Saccharomyces cerevisiae S288C: one gene and its partners. The gene in region 3 interacts genetically with the main gene of each other region. Each region holds a gene or a part of one and is shown on either strand. Other genes may lie near its edges.

What was found.
Region 1: mutations in HBT1 (region 3) and FET5 together harm fitness more than expected from each alone (negative genetic interaction), as found in Saccharomyces cerevisiae (2 studies listed by BioGRID).
Region 2: mutations in HBT1 (region 3) and DMO1 together harm fitness more than expected from each alone (negative genetic interaction), as found in Saccharomyces cerevisiae (2 studies listed by BioGRID).
Region 4: mutations in HBT1 (region 3) and CHS1 are lethal when combined (synthetic lethality), as found in Saccharomyces cerevisiae (2 studies listed by BioGRID, with this or other methods).

What each region holds. Positions count from the first base shown.
Region 1 is NC_001138.5:47,330-51,792, forward strand, and holds FET5 (ferroxidase FET5), read left to right. Parts: upstream 1-1,809; coding exon 1,810-3,678; downstream 3,679-4,463. Other genes in the region: LAM5 (Lam5p), read right to left, coding at 1-415; YFL041W-A (uncharacterized protein), read left to right, coding at 1,405-1,596; YFL040W (uncharacterized protein), read left to right, coding at 4,021-4,463. UniProt on the Saccharomyces cerevisiae protein: Iron transport multicopper oxidase, which is required for Fe(2+) high affinity uptake. May be required to oxidize Fe(2+) and release it from the transporter. Essential component of copper-dependent iron transport.
Region 2 is NC_001142.9:644,785-647,976, forward strand, and holds DMO1 (Dmo1p), read left to right. Parts: upstream 1-2,341; coding exon 2,342-2,692; downstream 2,693-3,192. Other genes in the region: JHD2 (histone demethylase), read right to left, coding at 1-1,706; ATP2 (F1F0 ATP synthase subunit beta), read left to right, coding at 2,823-3,192.
Region 3 is NC_001136.10:56,515-62,549, reverse strand, and holds HBT1 (Hbt1p), read left to right. Parts: upstream 1-2,144; coding exon 2,145-5,285; downstream 5,286-6,035. Other genes in the region: telomere-binding protein CDC13, read left to right, coding at 1-306; FMP45 (Fmp45p), read left to right, coding at 749-1,678. UniProt on the Saccharomyces cerevisiae protein: Polarity-determining protein which forms a conjugate with the ubiquitin-like modifier HUB1. Involved in bud site selection and cellular morphogenesis during conjugation. Required for survival during stationary phase.
Region 4 is NC_001146.8:274,810-280,397, reverse strand, and holds CHS1 (chitin synthase CHS1), read right to left. Parts: upstream 3,897-5,588; coding exon 501-3,896; downstream 1-500. Other genes in the region: YNL193W (uncharacterized protein), read right to left, coding at 4,354-5,588. UniProt on the Saccharomyces cerevisiae protein: Polymerizes chitin, a structural polymer of the cell wall and septum, by transferring the sugar moiety of UDP-GlcNAc to the non-reducing end of the growing chitin polymer. Required for mitotic division septum formation during adverse conditions.

The DNA of each region.
Region 1 (4,463 bases), on a different chromosome or scaffold from region 3:
TACGGCGGCTTGATCTTCTTTTGGACCCCATGGAAGGCTCCCTTCTATGTGATATAATGCTTGGTTGCGAAACTGGCGAAGTTGGCGTAGTTGATCTAGAAACTGGGGATGGCACGTTTGACTTAAACGAAGAGATCATTCCACTGAAGAACGAGGACGTCGAAGAAGTCCTTGATTGATCGTGCTTGATCTCTGTAGGGTGTTCATCGGCGGCACTTTGGTTTGTAATCACTACTAAATTCTTGCGTACGTCGTTGGTCTCTGTATTTAGGGGCACTTCTTGCAGTGACTCAGCTTCAGTATCGCCGGCATTGTCATTGTTACTTGCATGCTCAAAGGGGGGACCCAATTGTTTCACAGAATCAGTACTGTCCTCATTATCTGATACGGGTTCCCAGTTATCTACATCCGACATCACCACTAATCTTTTTGTGTAGTTGCCTTCTTCACCCTTTTCTCAGATAGCGAAATGGTTGAGTGTTTTAATATAATTGTCAAGATGCTTTATGAAAAAGGGTGGGAGAAACAAGTCCCCCTGCTCAGCGATACGCGATCTCTCTGATCTCAGACATAAAGCAAACATTCTATCATGAGTGACATTGAGGATGACGGTAATTGGTAATATCTGACCTTCTGACCTCCACTCAACACAATGCAGAAAGCTATCAAATGTTTTGAACCAAACATGAAAGAGATTCAGAAAGTTGCCAAGCCAACGTGATGTCACAGGTCAAAGTTTAAGTGAAGGCTATTGGAATCTGCGGATCAGACATTCACTACTACACGGATGGCCAGGTCAGCGTAAAGTAACCTGGGAAGCCCATGACTTTGGGCCACGAATCCAACGGTGCTGTTCTTGAAATTGAAGTATCTCAAACTACTGTAAAGCGGGTGATGCAGTAAGCATATAGCCCTCATACCCAAATAGGTTTACCAAAGAGTTTCTGTGAGGCCATTATAGTTTGCAGCTCAACATACCATTTGCTGCATCACTGACCGTGACGGCACCCTTTGTCAAGAGTTCGTGGTTAACGTCGACTGCGTTTACTGATTACCGTTACAGTGAATTTCTAGCAAGAGTCCTCTGTAGATGCCACTATTTGTCGCTCTCCATGTAGTAAGGCCGTCCTAGCTGAAGTGTGGGGAGTAAGCTGTAGTTATAGGTGCTGGAACAATTGATCTGCTGGCGGGTGCGGTACTCAGAGGGTTTGGTGTTCATGAGTACACATGATTCCAAGAAAGAGCAAAATGGACAGTTTATAAACGCTATGAAGAACTGCTATAATCAGAAAAAAAGGAAGCCTGATGGATTCGAGTCCTCAGGTACTCAAAAGAGCGTTGAGAATATGCTAAAATGTGTCAAGAACGGTGGAACAGTTAAGTAGGTTGATATCCACCCCTCGAATGAAAATGTGGGGACCCTCCCAACGAGATTCCTTCAGAGAGATTACATATAAAGTGAAATTCAAGTATGACGATGGTGACTACTCCTTGGCCATTGATTTGATGTCTAGGGATTGTATTAATGTCTATGAGTTGATTACCGATAGGCTACTGGTTGATTTCCTTTCAAAAAAGCTGCTCAAGCTAAGATAGGTAAGGTGTTTATAGAATTTATCGAACTGTATCTAAATATTTTTAATATTCTTGTTTTATTACTTTGTGGCTTTTGTATTCAGTCTGCACCCTGTTTCGCCATCGATTCTTATAATACATACATTTTTATATAAGATCACAGAAAATACGAAGACGTAAAAAAAGAGTTCCGAATGAAAGAAGAAAGAATCAAGCACAGGAAGACAAGAAACGATGTTGTTCTACTCGTTCGTGTGGTCTGTACTGGCCGCTAGTGTTGCTTTGGCAAAGACACATAAGTTAAACTATACCGCTTCTTGGGTAACTGCCAATCCTGATGGATTGCATGAAAAAAGGATGATTGGTTTTAATGGCGAATGGCCACTTCCAGATATCCATGTTGAAAAAGGAGATCGTGTTGAGCTTTATTTGACTAACGGCTTTCAAGACAATACTGCTACTTCTCTACATTTCCATGGTCTTTTCCAGAATACGAGTTTGGGGAACCAGCTTCAAATGGATGGTCCTTCTATGGTGACACAATGTCCCATCGTTCCGGGACAAACATACCTGTACAACTTCACTGTCCCAGAGCAGGTAGGAACGTTCTGGTACCATGCACACATGGGTGCCCAGTACGGTGACGGTATGAGGGGTGCATTTATCATCCACGATCCGGAGGAGCCCTTCGAATATGATCATGAACGAGTCATCACTCTATCGGACCATTATCACGAAAATTATAAAACGGTTACCAAAGAGTTTCTGTCAAGATATAATCCAACCGGTGCTGAACCTATTCCTCAAAATATTCTTTTTAATAATACGATGAATGTAACTTTAGATTTTACACCCGGTGAAACGTATCTCTTCAGGTTCTTGAACGTTGGGCTGTTTGTATCCCAGTATATCATTCTTGAGGATCATGAAATGAGTATAGTAGAGGTGGACGGTGTTTACGTAAAGCCAAACTTTACTGATTCGATATATCTTTCTGCGGGGCAAAGAATGAGTGTGTTGATTAAAGCTAAAGATAAAATGCCTACAAGAAACTACGCTATGATGCAAATAATGGATGAGACGATGCTTGATGTTGTCCCACCTGAGTTACAACTCAACCAAACTATCCAAATGAGGTATGGCCACTCGTTGCCGGAGGCACGCGCATTGAACATTGAAGATTGTGACTTGGACCGCGCCACGAATGACTTTTACCTAGAACCTCTGATTGAGAGAGACCTACTTGCTCACTATGACCACCAAATTGTCATGGATGTAAGAATGGTCAACTTGGGTGATGGTGTGAAGTATGCATTTTTCAATAATATCACTTACGTCACACCAAAGGTGCCTACTTTGACAACGTTGCTTACCTCAGGAAAGCTTGCGTCAGATCCTAGAATTTATGGTGATAATATCAATGCGCAGTTATTGAAACATAATGATATCATAGAGGTTGTTCTAAACAATTATGATTCTGGCAGACATCCATTCCATTTGCACGGTCATAATTTCCAAATAGTCCAAAAGTCGCCAGGGTTCCATGTTGATGAAGCTTATGACGAATCTGAGCAAGATGAAATGACCGTCCCTTATAACGAATCTGCGCCATTACAACCGTTCCCTGAGAGGCCGATGGTGAGAGATACAGTGGTTCTTGAACCTAGTGGACATGTTGTCCTGAGATTTAGAGCTGACAACCCTGGTGTCTGGTATTTCCATTGTCATGTAGATTGGCACTTACAACAAGGTTTGGCTTCGGTCTTTATTGAGGCACCCGTTTTACTTCAGGAAAGGGAAAAGCTTAATGAGAACTATCTGGATATATGCAAAGCCGCTGATATTCCGGTAGTTGGTAATGCTGCAGGTCATTCGAATGATTGGTTTGACTTAAAAGGATTACCAAGACAACCTGAGCCACTACCAAAGGGATTTACTACTGAAGGATATTTGGCATTGATTATTTCAACCATTATCGGTGTCTGGGGCCTATATTCCATTGCTCAGTATGGTATTGGCGAGGTTATCCCTAACGATGAGAAGGTGTACCACACGTTAAGGGAAATCTTGGCTGAAAATGAAATAGAGGTTTCTCGCGGCTAATTAAACAAGAAAATATAAAAGAAAAATGAAAGAAGTTTATATTCATATTGATGATTTGCAATCCTAAAAAAAATGTAGCACTGTAAATACTGCTTACTATTGAGTATTTTCATTTTGTTCATTCCATTCCCTATATAATATTCATACGTAATCAAATCTATTGCTTTTTTTTTCTCTTTTATTTCGTTGTTTTAGCTCTGACGTTGTGACGCTCAGCCAAGAACGTCACAAAAAAAGGATGAAAATCAAAAAACAAAATATTCAATAAGTGTAATATGAGAAGAGAAAAAAGAAAGAACAAGTACAGTTTCTAACATTATACTTTAAAAATTATTAAGCACAATGACAGCAATGAAAGCTATTGTCTGGAGACTTCCCAAGATGCCGAAAATCAAAATTACAAAAACTTATGAAGTTACGAAAATTACGGCGATATTGACACTAGTAGGATTTATAATGGGCCTTGAGGTGCCGTCATTGGCAACTTTTCTCACAAACAAAACGTTTAATGAGTACTTCAAGTATCCAACTCCTTTACAACAAGGTTTACTCATGGGGTCCACCCCCCTGGGTGGTATCATGGGATGTTTTATTTGCTGCATAATGAATGATAGATTCAGTAGAATATATCAATTTCAATCGGGAATAATAATATGGAATATTGTTACGTTATTGAACTTTTGTATTTGGGATATATTAGGTTTACTAATTTGCCGGATGATCAAGGGTATGATCCTTGGGAACTTTTCAATTTTAGTAGCATCCTACGCAAATGAAGTTATCCC
Region 2 (3,192 bases), on a different chromosome or scaffold from region 3:
TTGTCCAAAACATTGATCATTAAATCAAACATATCAAAAACACATGCTTTCTGAGTTAATTTATAATCCGTAATCGCACCAAATCCATATGGTAGCCAGAAATCTATAGTAAAATTGACAGCTTCATTAAAATTATAACCTGTATTAAAACCAGCATGGTAACATTTAGGAAACGTGATAATATATTCGTTGGGCTTTTGCACAGCTTTGTACACAGGAATACCTGATTTCTTGAAATTTGGATCGTACGGAGATATTAAAGTCACTAGCTGATGCAGTAGGTCTGGTTGTTTGATAAATAAGTCTGGTGACATATCATTTAATAGATCGTTGAATTTCGTACATCCCGATTCGGGAATGCTGTACCAGACCTTAGGGTCACCTTCATGTTGATAGTTAGCACTTAGGGTATACTGATCTTCCATATGCCAACAAAATGTGGAAAATAAGGAGCCTATGTAAATCCAAGGAATAGTCATGCCAGAAATATTTCTTTTAAATAACGGTAATAGCGAATTATGAGCCATAGGCAAGTTAGTTAAATTCATAGGATGATCGCAATATTTGAGGTAGTCTATCAATTCGTCCCCATTTATATTTTTGGGTATAAATTCTCTCGTCGGAAAGCCGGTAATTTGACCTGGCAATTCGTTATGTATGTCAGCACCGTATTTAACTGTCGTTAATGAACTGCGACGATTCTTGGTCACTAAGCTCCAAAACATCTCTTCCAACTCATCTATAGACAGTTTTCGTGCTGGTAATAACCTTGAATTTTGACGTTTACAATATTCTTGAAACTCTGGTAGAGAATAGTCATGCGTGTCCTGAGTGAATCCGTAATATCCGTTTCCGACGATACAAGTGTTACAAATCCAATCGCCAGAGGGAACACGTTCCAAAGGTGGTGATAAACAATATATATGGAATGGTTTGTCACATGAATCACATAAAATTGTTCTTTTTGGATCATTTGTCTTGCGACAAACAATACAAGCATCATCATCGTCCTCCTCAAAATCCGACCCAGAATTCGAATCTGGCCCAAGATCGAAATCGTCCTCGTCATCACTTAATAAGGATTTTGGATACTGGTCAGCATGCAGCGCCGTGTGCACGTTCTCGTTCAGTGAATGAAGAAATATGTAGTATGAGGCAATATATTTCTCAAAAATTTCCTTTAACAAGCCGATTGGTACGTTGAATTTTTTAGAAATGGTCCTCCATAGACTGATGTCGCCTCTTAATTGGGAAATATCTCTAAATTTCAATTTTCGCCTGAATGACTGTGTAGTGTCAGTAAGTGTCCGATTGTCTTTTATTAGTTCAGAGAAAACGTCATAAAAGTACACTTTTTTTTTTAGTATTTCCGATGCATGAGTAGAATCTGAATATTCTACAATCGTATAAGGTTCCCTAAGTATAAGTTTCGATGGATCCTTAACGGATCTTTTAAAATTATTTAACTGTTTCATAAAAAATAGCCTACACCTATTTTTCAGGTCTAGGTTCTCCAGATTTTGAATTCTTGGTTGAAAAGTAAAATTTTCCATATCAATAGAAAGTGGCGGGCAGAACCCGTTTGGTGGTACGACCTTGACCATACCATATCGTACACCAAGCCTTTTAATGTGGGGGTTAGAGAGATAATCGATCGGATTTTTGAATTCTTGTTCCGTTGGATACAGGGCAGGAATTTCCTCCATGATAGTGATACGTTTTTTGTGCAAGATGAGATTAGTTAATATGATCTAGAGGTAAAATTGACTAAGTAGTCAGATCTTATTCTACATTGAGCCTGCGTTGTCAACATGCACATCTCTGTCTCTTGGGATGATAATTTTTCAATGATGATTCCAGGGTTACTTTAACGTTACACAAAAGAAATTAATTAGTGCGGCTGTTTCTGTGAGCGGGGCAGTAAGTCCGAAGCCCTTGATATTAGCCCATACCCTACACATTTTACTCGTTTGCCCTACATCAGATAAAATACTGGCCCTAAGCCCTCCTAATCTCTTCTGGTTACACCTAGGGTAAAATATCTGCCTTTCTTTGCATTCAATGCGTTACTTCTATATCACGAGATGAGCATACGGATCGTGTATAATACTAAAAAGAAAGCTCCTGAAAGAGTTGTGACAAGCAAGACTGTATACTACTCCTTCTACGAAAGTTAGTTCGAGTTCTTGATGGCACTTGGCTATTCTATTTCTTGAACCTTTGAGAAAGAACAGAAGTAAAAGGCTGTGTATTCTGCTACATGAAATACAGTAGTAGTCACAGTACAAAAATACTCTAAACCAGTAATAAAGCCACATATATATGTATTTCCTTTCACGTGATGCGCTGGGATGTTATCATCTTATACGCAATTAGCCGCCCATATGCCACCCGGCGCACCGGGTCGCACACACACCCCCGTGATTCGCGATATATAGCGGCCAATCAACGGCGACCTCCAAGCGCGTGCCGGGTGGGCCCCTCGCCGGCCAAGCAGCGCAAGGATATTCCCATCTTCGAGCTCTTAGATACAACGCTTATAAAGAACGCACTTTTTGCATTAACCTCTTTTTTGTATTACAGAACAAACATTTTAACTTGCCCTTTTTTAAACTTTCTTTATCTCTCCAGGACAGGCCAATTGGATAAATTTTGCAAAGATCAAACAGTAACACAAATTTTAGCAACCTAAACCCCCCTCATAAACGAAGACAAAAGTGCTCCTCCTCAAGTCAAATTTGTCTTTCTTTTCTTTCATTTTTTAGTCTGTTGTTATCCAATTTATACTGAATCTTTGAGAGAAAACAAAAATAAAAAAAAGAATGGTTTTGCCAAGACTATATACTGCTACATCCCGTGCTGCTTTTAAAGCAGCCAAACAATCCGCTCCGCTTCTATCCACTTCGTGGAAAAGATGTATGGCCTCAGCTGCTCAATCTACTCCAATCACCGGTAAAGTTACCGCTGTCATTGGTGCCATTGTTGACGTTCATTTTGAACAATCAGAGTTGCCCGCTATTTTGAACGCTTTAGAAATTAAAACACCTCAAGGTAAGTTGGTTTTGGAAGTTGCTCAACATTTGGGTGAAAACACTGTCAGAACCATTGCTATGGATGGTACCGAAGGTTTGGTCCGTGGTGAAAAGGTTCTTGACACTGGTGGCCCTATCTCCGTCCCAGTTGGGAGAGAAA
Region 3 (6,035 bases):
GAAAAATATACGCAATTGGCACAATTTCTCGGCCATTCATTTAAATTCAATATAACCTCCTCGCTCACGCTGTTCCCTGACACTACCGTGGCACTCCAGATCTGGTGCCCAATTGAATGCACCTTTCGGGAATTGCAACAACAGCTGGCCCATCCGAAGGTTGCAGCGGCTCCTGATTCAGGGAGTCTTGATTGCGCAATTAATGCTACCGTCAATCCTCTGCGACTTCTTGCCGCGCAAAATGGCGTCACCGTGAAAAAGGAGGAGGATAATGACGATGACGCCGGAGCCGTTCCCACCTCGTAAGACATGATCCGCGCAGCCCAACGCGGCGGTGCCAAATTGCAGTGACGTCTCGGAGTAATATAAAAAAAAAAGACCAAATAACCAAATTTAAGGGTGCTCTGAATATAAGGGAGTGGAACGTTTTCACACGAAGGAAAAGGGAAAGAGGGGAGTGGTAAGAAGCAAGAGTCAATGAAAGGTCTTCCTTCCTTCTTGATGCTAAAACAAGGATAGTCTGGAATGGGGAGGAGCATTCGGCGCAGATGCCGACATATAAAAGGATGGTTGCTTTGCAACAGTTACTTGATCTTGCTTTGTTCTCTTGATTAGTTATCCGTTAGATGCAAACTTTAAGTACAGTAATTTTGAAGTGAATTAAAAAGAAAGAGGTATTTACGTTTAACGCTTATACTTTCCTTTTTATCCAAGTAACAAGTAACACTAATCACTATAATCTACCGCTATGATTTTCAAAAGGTTCGTTAATTTGCTTGTGTTTTTATTCCTACTCGGTGCTGGCTTATTGACGTTTTTTCTTATTCTGTCAGGAGGCAGAGAATCTGGAACGCTGAAAAATTTTTATTGGTTACAGGCTGATACAAACGGCTTTAACAGCGCTCCATCGACCACGAGATGGTACAATTACAATTGGTGCGGCTACGAAGACGGCCAGCTAGCTAATTGCTCTAGCAGGGCGCCCGCCAAGCCTTTCTCTCCCAGAGACAATTTTGGTAACTCTGTCAATTTACCATCGTCGTTCAGAAACAACCGGGATACCTACTATTATCTATCCAGGGTTGGATGGGCCATGCTGCTGATTTCCCTATTTTTCATCGTACTGGCGCTGGTACCCGGCTTTCTGGCTACCTTCCTTCCTTTCAAGGCAGTGCCAGTCCTGTACTGTGTGTTGTCCTGGTTGGCCTTTTTCTTCATTATATTGGCTGCATGCTTGTACACAGGTTGCTATGTGAAGGCCAGAAAGACCTTCCGCAACAGCGGGAGGTCTGCAAGGCTGGGACCCAAAAACTTTGCGTTCATCTGGACTTCGGTCTTCTTGATGCTCGTGAACGCCATTTGGTCCACTATATTCAGTGCTACCCACAAGGCCCACTCTACCTACTCGGACCACGACATGTATGCCCAATATGAAAGCCCTTCTGTTGACACCGGTGCTCAAATGGAGAAATCCACTTACAATAGTGGGGCGACGGACGGCGCGGGCCCTATCACAGCCGCACCTGTGGTTGGACAGCCTCAACCTACAACCACCACTACTCCGGCTGGCAATGGCAAGTTCTTTCAAAAACTGAAAACAAGAAAGCAGGTGCCATCAGCTGAGTTAGAACCAGCTGGGGATGGTGGTCTTGCCGGGCCAGTGACGGTACGCGACTAGGAAGGAAATAATCACCATAAAATACTTCCTAATTTTTTTTTTCTTCCTACATTCGCAGTACCATAACTCTGCATCTACCTCCAACCGAAATATTTTTTTGTGACATGGTATAATCCATATGTATCGTGCTGAAATTTTTTCTTGGAGATTTTCATTTATTCTCCACCATTCTTTCTCGCCTCCCCTCCTCCTTTTCCTTCTAATAATAACTTAGTTCTTTTTCCTTCTTCATTAAAGAGACTAAGAAAAAAAAAACGTCAATAATACCCGGCACCTTAGTGTAATTAATAGTAATAATATTGAATTTAATTCTTTAATAATACCACCCCCTCAAGAAAATTAATATATAATACTAACTAACTCAAAAACACCTTTTTTTATATGTAACTGTAGAGATAAGAATAATACCGAACACCGTGAAGATTTCCCAGTGGAGAGCTATCAAGAATATCACCCAACCCAAGATATGAATATGAACGAGTCCATTTCCAAAGATGGTCAAGGCGAAGAAGAACAAAATAATTTTTCGTTTGGTGGTAAGCCCGGTTCCTATGATTCCAATTCAGATTCTGCTCAACGCAAAAAGTCTTTCAGTACTACAAAGCCGACCGAATATAACTTACCAAAAGAACAGCCCGAATCAACGTCCAAGAATTTGGAAACCAAGGCTAAAAACATTCTGTTACCTTGGAGGAAGAAGCATAATAAAGACTCGGAAACTCCACACGAAGACACTGAGGCGGACGCTAACCGCCGTGCCAACGTAACTTCTGATGTGAACCCTGTTTCTGCCGACACCAAGTCAAGTTCTGGCCCTAATGCTACTATTACTACCCATGGATACTCTTATGTCAAAACAACGACACCCGCTGCTACAAGTGAGCAATCCAAAGTGAAAACGTCACCTCCCACTAGCCATGAACATTCAAATATAAAGGCGTCCCCCACTGCGCATAGACATTCCAAAGGTGATGCAGGGCATCCAAGTATTGCAACCACTCATAACCACAGCACTTCCAAAGCTGCCACTTCTCCTGTTACTCACACGCATGGTCATTCCAGTGCTACCACTTCCCCTGTCACTCACACACATGGTCATGCCAGTGTGAAAACCACATCTCCTACCAATACTCATGAGCATTCTAAAGCGAATACTGGTCCATCAGCCACTGCAACTACACATGGACATATCAACGTCAAAACTACCCACCCTGTTAGCCATGGTCACTCTGGTTCAAGCACTGGTCCTAAATCCACCGCTGCTGCACAGGATCATTCCAGTACTAAAACTAACCCTTCAGTTACTCATGGACATACAAGTGTTAAAGATAACTCCTCAGCTACGAAGGGTTATTCGAACACTGATTCCAACTCAGATCGAGATGTCATACCTGGTAGTTTCCGGGGCATGACTGGTACTGATGTGAACCCTGTTGATCCTAGTGTTTACACAAGTACAGGCCCAAAGAGTAATGTTAGTTCCGGTATGAACGCTGTCGACCCTAGTGTCTACACGGACACAAGTTCGAAGTCTGCAGATCGTAGAAAGTACTCTGGCAACACTGCGACTGGTCCTCCTCAAGATACAATTAAAGAAATTGCACAGAACGTGAAGATGGATGAGAGCGAACAAACTGGATTGAAAAATGACCAAGTTTCTGGTTCTGATGCAATCCAACAGCAAACTATGGAACCTGAACCCAAAGCAGCAGTCGGGACAAGTGGTTTTGTAAGCCAGCAACCTTCTTATCATGATAGCAATAAAAACATTCAACACCCAGAAAAGAATAAGGTTGATAATAAAAATATATCAGAAAGAGCGGCTGAAAAATTTAACATTGAAAGAGATGACATTCTGGAATCCGCCGATGATTATCAACAGAAAAACATTAAATCCAAGACGGATTCTAATTGGGGTCCAATTGAATATAGTTCCAGCGCTGGTAAAAATAAGAATCTGCAGGATGTTGTTATACCTTCTAGTATGAAGGAGAAATTCGACAGCGGTACATCTGGATCTCAGAATATGCCTAAAGCGGGAACCGAATTAGGACATATGAAGTATAATGATAATGGTAGGGATAACTTGCAATATGTTGCCGGTTCACAAGCTGGTTCTCAAAATACGAACAACAATATTGACATGTCACCCCGTCATGAAGCAGAATGGTCCGGGCTTTCTAATGATGCCACCACCCGAAACAATGTTGTATCACCTGCTATGAAGGACGAAGATATGAATGAAGATTCTACTAAACCTCATCAATATGGGTTGGATTATTTGGATGATGTTGAAGACTACCACGAGAATGATATTGACGACTACTCAAATGCAAAGAAAAACGACTTGTATTCTAAGAAAGCGTACCAGGGAAAACCATCGGATTACAATTATGAGCAGAGAGAGAAAATCCCAGGTACTTTTGAACCTGATACGTTGTCAAAATCAGTGCAAAAACAAGATGAAGACCCGTTGTCTCCAAGGCAAACCACTAACCGTGCTGGTATGGAGACTGCAAGAGATGAGAGTCTTGGCAATTACGAATACTCGAATACTTCTGGTAACAAAAAATTATCTGATTTAAGCAAAAATAAATCAGGCCCAACTCCAACGCGTTCTAATTTTATTGACCAAATTGAGCCAAGAAGAGCAAAAACAACACAGGATATTGCATCCGATGCCAAGGATTTCACCAATAATCCGGAAACAGGTACTACTGGAAACGTAGATACAACCGGAAGGATGGGTGCAAAATCCAAGACCTTCAGCTCGAACCCTTTTGATGATAGTAAAAATACAGACACTCATCTCGAAAACGCTAATGTTGCTGCCTTTGATAATTCCAGATCTGGAGACACTACATACTCCAAATCAGGGGATGCTGAAACAGCTGCTTACGATAATATTAAAAATGCGGACCCTACATATGCCAAATCACAAGATATTACTGGAATGACTCACGATCAGGAACCATCATCAGAACAAAAGGCCAGTTACGGTTCTGGCGGCAATTCCCAAAATCAAGAATATTCTAGCGACGATAATATTGATGTCAATAAGAATGCGAAAGTTTTAGAGGAAGACGCACCGGGCTACAAGCGTGAAGTAGATTTGAAGAACAAACGTAGAACCGACCTTGGTGGTGCCGACGCCTCAAACGCTTATGCTGCCGAAGTTGGTAATTTCCCTAGTTTGATTGACCCACATGTCCCAACATACGGATTTAAAGACACCAACACCTCTAGTTCTCAAAAGCCATCTGAGGGCACCTACCCAGAAACCACTTCCTATTCAATTCATAATGAAACAACTTCTCAGGGAAGGAAAGTGTCGGTGGGTTCAATGGGTTCCGGAAAATCAAAACATCATCACAATCATCACCGTCACAGCAGACAGAATTCTTCAAAAGGGTCTGACTACGACTATAATAATTCTACTCATTCAGCCGAGCACACTCCAAGACATCATCAGTACGGTTCCGATGAGGGTGAGCAAGATTACCATGACGACGAGCAAGGTGAGGAACAGGCTGGTAAACAAAGTTTCATGGGTAGAGTGAGAAAAAGTATTTCTGGCGGTACTTTTGGATTTAGGAGTGAAATTTAAACACTTCTCGATTAACAAATTCCCAGTATTCTTTGAAATCTATTTTTCTTCCTCAATTGAATTTGAATAACTGTCTACGCGGACTCCTCCTATCTACAACTACAACAAATTTTAACCACTTTATTACCACTTTCCTCTTTCATTTATTTTTGTCTTTTATGTTGTCAATTTACTAGTATTTTTTTTTTTTTCATTTACGTTCAAGGTTTTTTATACTCATTTAACTTGTCTTAGGTTATTTATATATATACCTATATATTTATATATATATATATATATGTATGTATATATTATTATCACCAAATGAGAAATAATAGCTAATTTGATTTTTGATTATTTAAAATATTGGTTTGTTCTTTCTGCAAACATCTCGTTTGGTACGATATTAGTGAAAAACGATGTAATTATCAACACGTGCATTACCCAGCGTTATATTTTCATTACCCGGACGTGGTGTTTTTTGTTTTTTAATGTTTCTTAGACTTAAAGAGGAATGGAATGGTTATTTGGATTAAATCATAGAAAAGTACAATTAAGGTTACGGCAGGAGCCTCGAACCGGTAGTTTTACAGAAAATAGACCCATCTGGTGGCAACACTAAATCATTGAAATAATAGCAAACAATTGTTTCAAAACTCCTCCCATTTGGATCTCATCTCAATTGTTTTTTCCTTCTTAGTTAAAAGTTCACGAAATTAGGAAATCTAAGAATCAAAATATAATCCGCTGTTATTTCTGCGTGTAAAGGTT
Region 4 (5,588 bases), on a different chromosome or scaffold from region 3:
CAAATTTCTTCAAGGCTTCCGGATCGTTACCTTACTCCCAAGCAATAAACGTGAAATCTGTTTTGTATATATATTTGCAGCTTTTTTTCTTTTGTTCTTTTTCTTTTTTTGGAGATGCGTCTTAAAAAGCGCCACAGTTTCAAGGGTCCGGCGGATAATTTGAGCAATGATAGTATGAAATGCCAGATTACTGTGTATTAAATAATACTTCATGAATTTGCGAATGAACCACTTTTTTGAAAGTTTATGGATATAGATGTGCACATGTCGTTTTTTGAGCTTTGGGTGTTTAGAGCGGAAGAGTTGGTGTTGTGAGTTTCAGTTTTATCAATTATTTATGTTTTTCTCTCAGAAGCCATTTTTTTTTGGTTTTATGGTAAAGGCACCCTTTAAAAATAATACTAAATGTTTCTTTGAAAAATACCATACTTACAACTAATTAATTATTATATGATAGTAAACACATATACTTATTTATAACAAAGGGGTAATCAATCTACTTAGCGAAATGTAACCTTTTTAAAAAACCTTACTATCATGTATATTGAGCAACCAATGAACCTTATTAATGCCGATAATGCAACTAACCATAAAATTACATTAAAATAAATTGAGGCCTTACTGGTCATTAAGGGAATTTCCGCCTTCTTTGCAGTTTCTAAAGTGTCATCAGTTGATATGGATTTCATAGCAATATAATCTGCAATCCCACCGGTTTCTAAGACAACAGCAACGATGATGAAATTTGTGATGACCCAAAAGATAATCACGAGAGATCTAACGTTTGCATAATAGCCAGTCTTTTTTTCATCATAAGATGGCTCAGTAGGCCGAGATTCTGATTTTGGATCGAAGTCATTTAAAACTTTCAAATATTTATCGTAGTTTGCTTGAATCTCTGAACTAGAGACCAGAACTTCCATTTTGAACGTACCATCTTCTGTAGTATTAATCTTACCCAGCGGATTTGCCATTGCACCCTTTGTACCCCATGATAAGTCGTGGACATTACAAAATGCATAGATATTCAAAACATTGATGTAAGAAGGACTCAATAAAATATACTGAATAAAACTTGTCAACATATGCCATGGCTGCAAATAGATAATTGAACTGATTAGGTACAAACAATAAGTGGAGCCCAGAGAGATAACAATATCCCTGAAAGCTTCTGTGGTAATCAAACCCTCAAAGCTGATGGTATCGTTTTTCAATATATTTTGGAAGGATTTGACACTCATGAATATACTGCAGAATATCATGTAAATCATCATCACCGCAAAAATGACGCAAGTTAGAACATAAAATTTCTCAGTACTTTTAGGTTTATTACCCAATGACAGTATGAATGTTGATAAGGTACAAATCCCATAAAGCCACAGGAATATGACGGACAACACATTAAATGCTGAATGGTATGCCAGTGCAATAGAAACAGTGAGAATTCTAAAGACTAGGAAAAATGAACTCAATGAAAACCATGAAATCAATGTATTGAAGAAAAGGTAAAAAAATTCAACCGTCAAAAGGAGTTTTCTACCAATATTATGACCACTGCTCCAGACTCTGTAAAAATGACAAAAGGAATATACACTAGCAAAAAATGAACCATTCAACCAACGCCTCCTCTGAAGAATAAATTCAGGGACCCTCTCCGGTACATCTGTTGAAGCATAAGAACTTCTGCAGTATTTCAAAATCCAATTACAATTTTTTTTTGTGACCACTTCAAAGCATAAAATACGATCTTCAGCAAGATACATATTGGAAGAAAAAAAATGAAAACCTTCATTTTCCATAATTTCACCATAAAAGTACTTCTGTAATGGTTGGCCTCTCACAGCTTCAAACCTATACGCAGAGAATGCCCCCGGTAGAACAGTAATAAATCCAAAGTTAGACTCGGTTGTTTTGTCTAAAATATTGGACATTTTGTATTCGAAATTCTGTGATGCAACTAAAGGATTCAAAAGCTTTACAAATCTCTTACCCAAATCAGTTCTTATTTCACCACATGCGCCACCAACATTTGGATTCCTGAACTCTCTCCATAACTGGTAAATAGAATCTTTACCTGGCATGGTACCAGCATCTAACAATGTAACGATATTGGGACGCAGTAATTCTGCAAAGCCTTCAAATGCCCATCTATGTGAGTTAATTTTTTTCTGATTTTGCTCTTTCAAACAAAACAAAAGTTGTATTGGAACGGTACCTTGATTGCATTCTAATGAAACCTCTGATTCCGAAATATTTGTGATGTTGATCATTGTCGTATGTTCGTAGACATGCATTGCCACTTTTTTTTCATTAATTTCATCCTTAGCAAACCCGTCCTGGTAACAACCTAACGAACTTAGTAATGCTAGCGAGCGTTCATTAATTTTGGATCTACCATCTGAAATGATACAAACGACAATCTTTTTCCATGCATCCGGCCCCCAAGTGCTTGAATTTTTTTTTTTCACCATATATTTGACATTGTCCATAATACCTTTCAAAGTTCTTCCTAACAGGATATGGTCTTCATTATACATTGTGACTACTAGCATCAATTCCGTTTCCCTTGGAGTTAAATACTTCAACTGCCTCACCGTGAAATTCTTCTCTGCAAGTTGATTAGGTTCGCAAGTAACTGCTTGATATCTCATAAACTTAAACTCATTTGGTAAAGTGTTTGCATTTTCTGTTGTAGTAGCGTATTGGTCCAATAGCGTCTTACTGATTGGAGAATCGAAAACAAAATTACCATTCCAAAGTTTGAATTTCCTAATTTCAGTACCGCTTCTCTTTAGTGCTCTATTTGCGGTTAAGTTATCATTGCTTACTATTATGTCGGATTCTTTAGATCCGATAGAAGACACCGAGGATGATGCAGGTACACCATTAGCTTGAAACTGTAATTTATCAATAGTGTTGAGATCATCGTACTCGTCATCCCTTGAAAAATCATCCTTGTCATATTCCCCCAAGTCTCTATGAGAGTAACCGCTTTTCACACTGTCTAATTCTTCTTTTCCATCGTTTACGGGTCTGCTATCATCATGAAGATATTCTCTACGCTCCATAGGAGTCATATGTCTTAAACTGTTTTCATAATCGTAAGGATCAACCATTTCACCGTTTCTACCCAAATATGAATTAATCTGATAGTCATCTCCTCTCTGATCAATATAACCACCCTCCGGATCGTCATAGTAATCTTTTGCCTGTAGGCCATGGTAACCATTGTTGTATCCAAAAGGTTGGTCATGGTATTGAGGAATATTACCGCTATTCATGTTATTGTTGGGTTGCTCCAAAATGGGCCTAGCTTCCTGATCTGCATAACCATCGCTACTAGAAGCAATACTCGGTGACGTCCTAGAGTTCCTGTTATTATAATAGTAGTCGTTTTCGTTAAAGAAGGGCCTTTCGATGGGGGTGGCCATAGTCTGTGAGCCGTTATGTATGAGTTCTGGAGTGGTTTGAATCACATTTATCGAAGGAAGTGGATATGAAGGTACGTTATTGTATTGATGTTCCGACGGTAGCTGTTGACTATTCGTATTAAAAACGTCATTGTATTCTGCAGTTGCTGGTGGGGGACGCTGGCGATGGTGGTTGACAAAACCTCCATATATGTCTCGTTCGTTATCATTGATAGTATTATTATTGCCATCGTCACCGTTATAAAGCATATTTGTTTGCTGAGATTGTTCTGGAAATTGCAAAGATTGGACTGGAGTGAATGAACCCATGCTGGCATTTTGATTGGTATATCTTTGGTTCCTGTTTGTTAATTCTTCATTAGAAGAGTGAAATAGCCCGCTATGTGCATTTTGGAGTTCATAGGAAGGTTCATTCTTCCGGTTTGAGTGATATTCATTTCTCGATCGATTATTTTGATCACTCATTGTATAGTTTTTTTGGTTTGGCTTCCCAGTATTAATTTAGTGACTCTTCGAGGAAGGAAAGAAGAGAGAAGAAGAAGAAGAAATGTATACTGCGTATTTAAACAAGCAGTACTGCAAGGTCCGGTAGGCCTCAAAATGTAAGTGTTCTGATCCTTTGGAGTACCGACGTAAAAAATGAACCCGAGATATATATTAAAATCAATAATTTGTAACAAATATTATACCTAGTTTGGCCAAGAAAATCAAATTTCACACTAATGGCTGTGTCGCGTCATTATCGCGTTACCAAGCCACGCGATTTCTAAAAAAAGACTGCTGGGCCCCGTCTCGGCTTTGTTTCAGAGGTAATGTATGTTTCCTGCATGTATTTACTTGTATCAAATTTCGTTTCACCAAGGGTTCTTGTAGCATATGCGCAACGAATTATCTTCTACTTATGTATATGTACGTAATTTCACTACCGATAGTGGCTATAAAAAGGGTGTTCTGGTGGCATATCGAACGTCATTGCGGTAGGCGAAGCAGAAGTACCGTCATCCTCATTTGACTTCTGTTCCAGCCTCTGTAAGAAAAGTAGTCTTTCCTTGGCTTGATTATGGATATAGTTCCTCTTCAGTTTATCAATAATCGTTTCTTGTAACCCGCACTGTTTTGATGAGATAGCGACAGCATTATTCAGAAAAACGTTAGCGTTTTTCATCAATATGTTTAAAGTATGCGCTCCCCCGGGGGTTTTTTGTGACTTTTCAGTTGATTCTTTTATAGCGTACCTTCTCAGTTCATTATCGGAGGAATTTACTAAGACATCACAAAGTTGAAAAACTACGTGACTCAATTGTTCGTTCAATGTCTGATTTTTCAGAAACAAGATTTGATTTCTATAGTCTGTTAATAAAGTTCTAGCCTCTGTAAGAACTTTGGTCAATAACCCAGAGAGTTTCCAAGATGCATCTGAAGAATAATCGTTTAAACATAGAATGGCAAATTCAACGATATCAACTCTAATCAACGAAAGATCAATCTTACCCTGTACATCTTTTTCATCAAGCAGATCGGTAAAGGAGACGGTTTGCAGAACAAAATCTTGCAATGACTCGAAGGTTCCGGAGCTAATGATGTTCAAACCTTCAATTAAAGTCTTGGCTAAACCGATTTCCTTCAAATCTAATGGAATGGCGGCGGAAATGGAGTCTATAATGTCGCGTAGTTGTAAATAGAATTTATTGGTTGTATCTTCCAAGAAATTAATCTGAATAGGATTCAAGATTTTCGTTTCGACATTTTTTTCAATAGATATTTTCGACTCAATAACCAATTCCATCAAAGCATGGTTGAACTTTAAAGAGTTGGCGAGTACTTCGGTAAGTGAAGACGGAGTCACTTGTTCAGAAACGTCCATAACTTCTGCTGGAGGTTGTACAGGTCCATTGGTTCGGATACCACTTCCGTCCCTGGTAACTTGCATCGCGTCTTCATCCAAAGTATCTCTTTGCAATTCCGTATCTGTGTCATCGGAATCTTGTTCTGCATTTTCACTCCAGTTTTGTAGTTCTTGTAACAGATAATTAACCAGGTGTTGAAAGATTTCAATATACTTGTTTGTCAAAGTTAAAATGTCTGCACCTTCCATTGCAACGGTGGGCGAAACGGTGTCGTCTAGGGACTCTATGAGAGTCAAATAACATGTCAATA